Linked DNA regions of Mus musculus. The protein of the gene in region 1 interacts with the protein of each later gene in a pairwise test. Links are inferred from orthologs where the notes say so. Each region holds a gene or a part of one and is shown in the gene's direction. Other genes may lie near its edges.

Region 1 (3,520 bases):
GACACTGAGTGCAGGGTCCGTCCACTAACACCCTCTTCTGATCAATAGCATCTACAGTTGCGACCAGCTTTCCAGGATGGGACCCAAAGGCCCATAGGCCGCTCGGTACCCTCCATGAAACACCTGAACGTCACGTTGGTGGGGCTCAGCAAGAAGCTGAGTTTTAAAGAGAGTCTCATGTAGCCCAGGCTGGCCTCAAATGCCCTACGTAGCTGAAGATAGCCTTGAACAAATGCTGGGCATAAAGCACCAGGTCCAGCAGATTTAGAAAATATTAATAATTAAGTTCTTAGAACTTCTTCAGCTTAATTTTTTAATTATTTAAAAAGCCAAACACATAAAATTAGCGCATTTTAATTGTACAGTGAGGCAGAGCATGGTTCAAGGTGGGAGACTTGGGACTATGCCTTTTATATATATATATATATATATATATATATATAGAGAGAGAGAGAGAGAGAGAGAGAGAGAGAGAGAGAAATATATAAATGTAGATATAGATAGATTTTATATGTGGATAGATTTTGGGTTTTGTTTTGTGTTTGCTTGTTGGTTTAGACAAGGTCTCTTTACATAGAACAGGTTGGCCTGAAACTCACAGAGATCCACCTATCTCTGGCTCCCAAGTGCTGGGATTAAAGGCATGCACCATGCCTGACAGTTTATTTTCAAGATTGGCACTGCCATTTTACCTCCTTCAGAATTCCATATGACAGGTAGATTTCTGGTGGTGCACACCTCTAGTCCCAGCACTTGGGAGTAGAAGAGTTGGATCTCTCTGAGTTCAAGGCCAGCCTGGTCTTCATAGTTCCAGGGCAGCAAAAGCTACACAAAGAAACTCTATCTCAAATAAAACAAACAGAATTCTATGTGAATTTCCATGGAATTTGGCCTTTCCATGGAAATTGGCCTTTCCTTTTCTACAAAGACAGCACTGGGTTTTGACAGAGATTTTACTAATTGCAAGTCACTCTGGGGAATGTTAGTGTCTTACACTAATTAAATCTTCTGGTCTAGGAACACAAGGTATCTTTCAGTAGTCAGTTTTTGGTTTCTTTTTAGCAGTGTTTTTCTTTTAAAGATTTATTTATTTTTATTATATATAAGTACACTGTAGCTGTCTTCAGACACTCCAGAAGAGGGCATCAGATCTCATTACGGATGGTTGTAAGCCACCATGTGGTTGCTGGGATTTGAACTCTGGACCTTCGGAAGAGCAGTCGGGTGCTTTTACCCACTGAGCCATCTCACCAGCCCCTTTAGCAGTGTTTTTTATTCCCAGAATAGGTACATTGTACCTATGTGGTTATATTTTGTGGTGTGTGTGTGTGTGTGTGTGTGTGTGTGTGTGTGTGTGTGTGTACAAATGCTTGTAGAAACTAAGGGTCAGCTAAGAGTCTTATCACTTTACACCTTAGTTTTGTTTTGTTTTGTTTTGTTTCTTTCTTCTTTTTCATTTTTTTGGTTTGGCTTTTGTTTTGTTTTGTTTTGTTTTGTTTGTTGAGACAAGGTCTCACTATGTAGCCCAGGCTCTTCTGGAACTAGCTCGGTAGACCAGGCTGGCCTCAAACTCAAAGAGATCCATGTGCCGCTGCCTTTAGGGAGTCCCCTTGCTGTAGACATCCAACCTGCAGGGGGCGCACATCTCTCCTCCGTTCATGTCCGGGCAACATTTCTAACCAGGCCACCTCTCCTGCAGGGTGAGAGGCTGAGCCATGCTGTGGGCTGCGCGTTCGCCGCCTGCCTGGAGAGGAAGCAGCGACGGGAGAAGGAATGCGGAGTCACCGCCGCCTTCGACGCCAGTCGCACCAGCTTTGCCCGTGAGGGCTCCTTCCGCCTGTCGGGGGGCGGGCGGCCTGCGGAGCGCGAGGCAGGGGACAAGAAGAAAGGTGGGTGCTGCGGGCCAACAGGGGGCGCACATGTGCATCTAGGGATCCCCGCTGAGGAGTGAGTGTTTAGGGCGCCAGTGGCCAGGGTTGGTAAGGTTTGCAGAGCAAATCTCAATATTCTTAGTATTCTACAGATGGGGGAGGGGGTGGAGGGTGGAGGGGACGCGACGCTTACCATAACACATTCTGTTGTCTAAGTCAGGAAGTCAGTGAAGCAGATGATGTGCTGTCCCAAACCCTTAACCCCAGCACTCAGAGGCAGAGGCAGGTGGAACTCTGTGAGTTCAAGGCCAGCCCGATCTACAGAGTGAGTTCCAGGACAGCCAGGCCTACCTAGTGAGACCCTGTCTCAAAAACAAACAAAAAATAGGTTCTTGTTGTAGCCTCTATCCCTTGGACCTAGGTTCGATTTTCAGCACACACATAATGGCTCACAAGTATCTCTATGTCCTGTTCCAGGGTATCCAATACCCTTTTCTGGCCTCCCAAGACACCACACACACATGGTGCACAGGCAAAACACCCACACATAAAATAAAAATAAAGATTAAATAACTTCCAAAAGGCATGAAGATTGTTGTCAGATGCCAGGATTGTTTACGATGGGAACTGTATGCAAAACGGTTCTGATTTCCAGGGACAGACCCAGCAGCGCTGGAGAAAGCCCTTCACCGTTCCCACAGGCAGAGGGGAGTTTACCATGAGGTCGGCCTGTCAGCCTTACTGACTCTCACACTCATTGTGCTACCAGCTGACTCCCAGCCAGTGACACCATCTTTCATGATTAGCGCACCTAGCCTGGCAGCAGAGGCTGGCGCACACACTGAACTCAGTTCTGCCTGCACTGATCTTTCAGGAAGCCCTGGGGGAGGTAGCCCAGGGACACCAGCCCAGAGAGGGCAGGGGACTTTTGAAGTAACACAGCACTGAGGTGGGAAAGAAGGTCATTTCCTGTTTCCAGCCTGTCCCAGGGTGCTGCCATGGCACCAGGCCAGGCCTGTTACCTCATGCTGGAAGATGGAATAGAAGCCCCCAGAGTAGCTGAGGTATCCCAGCTATCGCTGTGGTGAGGCTCTGGTTTGAAGGCAGGCAGTGTGTATTTGTGGGAGGGAAGGTAACCTGCCCTTGAAGAGCCTGCAGTTTGAAGTGTAGCGTCCCAAGGTTTTGCAGAGGGCAAGGAACAGTCCCAGGGTGGAGAGAACCCAGGCTGAGGGGTTAGAAGGAATTGGAAAGATTCGGAAAGGATAAAGTGAGCCAAGCCAAGTCTAGCGTCACTAGTCGCAGCTGGAGAAAGGCACAGAGAGGGAGACATCCTTGAGGGAGACAGAATAGCAGAGAATAGAAAAGGAGAAGCGGGGAAGCAGAAAAAGACAGATCAGACCACCGGGAAGGGCAGGTGGACTCCAGAGATGACGTCAGTCAGTCCTCTCAGCTTTCTTGTTGTTGTTGTTGTTTTTGAGAAACAAACGGTTTCTCATTACACATGGTTGTGAGCCACCATGTGGTTGCTGAGAACTCAGGACCTCCGGAAGAGCAGTTAGTGCTCTTAACCGCTGAGCCATCTCACCAGCCCCTCCTCTCAGCTTTCATACCTGTAAAATAGTGATAGTCTTGACCGCATGAATGGTTGT
Region 2 (2,994 bases), on another chromosome or scaffold:
ACAGCAGGGCAGCTCAGGAAGTAGAGGCCAAAACTTCAGGGACTGTCAAGTCAGCTAGCCTGAACCCTAGCACCAAAACAGGGATCCAAGGGCCTGCAGAGCAGCTGAATAGCAAGAGTTGATTGGTCAGTCAGTGGCTGGAACTTGACCAGCTCAGCTGTGTCCTCACCCCCAGCTAGGTTCTGAGGCCTGAGAGCATCTTTGGAAGAGTTTGCTGCAGCTTGGAGCATTAGTCCATTAGACCTTGTGGAGCATGCTTGCTCCTCTTGATTCCAGTGCCCTTGCAGGGGATGGAGACACACATCCCATGTCTTAGCCTGAGTGGAGCCAGATGCTAGACCTTGTTGACAGCAGCAGCCCTGGGCTTTAGGAGACCATGAACTACCCAGGGAAGACAGGTAGTGGATGCTGTGTGGCCTATGGTAGTCAGACCTTCTGGGGGGAAATGGGGCAGAGGAAGCCAAGTAAGAAGCCATTCCCCTAGGGCCACCTCCCATCTCATTGGAGTCTTAGCACTCAGGTTGATTATGTTGAGCACTGGAGAGCGCCAGGTGTCTGGCTGCTTCTCTGGTGGATTTGAGAAGGGATTTGTCATAAACAGAGTGACCTACCCCTTCCCTCCCTTCCAGCACAGCGACTCCGACTCTGACCCTGAGTACTCCTCCCTGCCACCATCCATCCCCAGTGCTGTGCCTGTGACAGGAGAGTCCTTCTGTGACTGCGAGGGCCAGAATGAGGCTACCTTCTGCAACAGTCTGCACACAGCACACCGTGGCAAGGACTGCCGGTGTGGTGAGGAGGATGAGGGTACGTGTCTTGCCGCTGGGACGTGTGGAGGGCTGGGCAGGTTCCCTGGGACCAGGCAGGCACCGTTTAGCTGTAGCCCTCCCTAGTTTAGGCCCTCTGTCTTACAGATTTTGATTGGGTCTGGGATGACCTGAACAAGTCCTCAGCCACCTTGCTGAGCTGTGATAATCGCAAGGTCAGCTTTCACATGGAGTATAGCTGTGGCACTGCAGCCATTCGGGGCACCAAGGAGCTAGGGGATGGCCAACACTTCTGGGAAATCAAGATGACCTCTCCAGTGTATGGCACAGACATGGTAAATGGCCAAGCAAGAGGGTAGATGCCATGGGCCCTGCCGCTAGGCATCTAACTGTCCAGGCCCACTATTTACAGATGGTGGGCATTGGGACGTCGGATGTAGACCTGGACAAGTACCACCACACGTTCTGCAGCCTGCTGGGCAGGGATGAGGACAGCTGGGGGCTCTCCTACACTGGTAGGTGTTGCCTGGGTCATGGGTGGGGCTGGCAGTACAGCAGACCTCCCAGGATCACCCCATTGCTCCTCGCAGGGCTCCTCCACCACAAAGGTGACAAGACGAGCTTCTCTTCACGCTTTGGCCAGGGCTCCATTATTGGTGTGCACTTGGACACCTGGCATGGGACACTGACATTCTTCAAGAACAGGAAGTGCATAGGTGAGGTACCTTTGTAGAGCCTTTAGGGGTGGGGCCAGGCAGTCTGACTTGAGGCTCCTGACAGATGAGGGAGGGTGGGCAGGCCTGAAGCAGATTGGGGTTACCAGGCCAGACCAGAGTATTTTCTGTGTTCAGACTATTTGAGCTGCTTACCGTGGTGCCTTGTAGGAGGAGCTTCCTGGCTCCCAACCCACATGGCACTCAGGCTAAGCCTTCCTCCCAGGAGTGGCTGCTACTCGGCTTCAAAACAGAAGGTTCTACCCGATGGTTTGCTCCACGGCTGCCAAGAGCAGCATGAAAGTCATCCGCTCCTGCGCCAGCTCCACATCCCTGCAGTACCTGTGCTGCTACCGCTTGCGCCAACTGCGGCCAAATTCAGGGGACACCCTCGAGGGCCTGCCCTTGCCACCTGGCCTCAAGCAAGTGCTGCATAACAAGCTGGGCTGGGTTCTGAGCATGAACTGCAACCACTGGAAATCCCCTGTGCCCCCTCCTGGCACAGCTACACCTGGTGCCGAGAGTCTGGAGACCAGGCCCTGTCAGAGGAAGCGCTGCCGAAGAAGCTGACTTCTCCCCTGGGAACGCAGATACCTTCCTCTTTCTCGCCCTTCCAGGGCAGCAGGAGAGGGAAGAACTGAGGTCCAGGCTTTTCCCTATCTCCCTGAGGCCAGGACAGTCTTCTCCGGTGACCATGGAGTGAAGGTCATTCTACTGCCTGTGCTGGTAGGGAAGCCGTACTCCTATTTGTCCTTTGAGTTGCCACGTGTCTTGGGAACTGCAGCTAGGCACCTGTGAACCTAGATTCCAAGCCCGGGAGGCTGGCCGACGAAGGGGAGTGCATTCATATCCCGGGGAGAAGATGGGCTGTCCCCACCCACGGGGCCGTGGGGCTTTCCTGACTTGCACTGCATGTTGTCAGCTCCTGCTGCAGAGATGGCAGTGGGTGCCCTGTGAAGGGGTTTTGTCTTGTCCCTCTATGTTATATCATTAAAAGAGCCTTCACAAATGCCCAAGCTGCCTGTGTCTATTGTTTATCTGTCTCTGTCCAGCGGCTTTGAGAGAGCTTGGCTTGGATCTCTGAGCACCTCTCTCTGAGGATGTAATAGTACAACTCAGCACTCAGGCCTACTACTAAGCCTCCTGCACCAAGTGGCCACTACCCTCCACTCTTCCATTCACCTCAGCTTCCCTTACCCTCTCACCCACCTCCCATGGTATTTCCATTTGACCATCAGGCAACAGAGTCTATCTACCACAGTCTGAAAAGGTATGGGCTGGACCCAAACCTCCTTGCCTGCCTCTCAGAATAATTAGATTCTTAGGCAGACTTGTCCTGTTGTACTGATGGGCAGGAGGTGACCCCAGGATGGCACAGGTCAAGAGCTCAGGTCCAGCAGGAGGTCAGGGTTGGTGGTTGTCAAGAAGATACAGATTCTGCGTGAGAGGTCAGGCCCCACTCTGCGAGGCTGCTTGCCTTTGTGGGCCTTCACAGGGAGATCAGCTAGGAGGCT

What was found. The genes of interacting proteins can lie anywhere in the genome.
Region 2: the proteins of Numbl (region 1) and Spsb3 interact in binary tests that used the Homo sapiens proteins (3 or more experiments, as listed by UniProt). The two-hybrid records come from large-scale screens. The link is inferred for Mus musculus from reciprocal best matches to the Homo sapiens genes NUMBL and SPSB3.

The regions. Positions count from the first base shown.
Region 1 is NC_000073.6:27,272,256-27,275,775, forward strand, and holds part of Numbl (numb-like protein), read left to right. Parts: exon of another isoform or gene 1-156; intron 157-1,699; coding exon 1,700-1,889; intron 1,890-3,520. UniProt on the Homo sapiens protein: Plays a role in the process of neurogenesis. Required throughout embryonic neurogenesis to maintain neural progenitor cells, also called radial glial cells (RGCs), by allowing their daughter cells to choose progenitor over neuronal cell fate.
Region 2 is NC_000083.6:24,889,654-24,892,647, forward strand, and holds the end of Spsb3 (SPRY domain-containing SOCS box protein 3), read left to right. Parts: intron 1-629; coding exon 630-807; intron 808-914; coding exon 915-1,102; intron 1,103-1,179; coding exon 1,180-1,282; coding exon of another isoform or gene 1,283-1,357; coding exon 1,358-1,483; intron 1,484-1,651; coding exon of another isoform or gene 1,652-1,706; coding exon 1,707-2,050; 3' UTR 2,051-2,494; downstream 2,495-2,994. Other genes in the region: probable crossover junction endonuclease EME2, read right to left, coding at 2,860-2,994.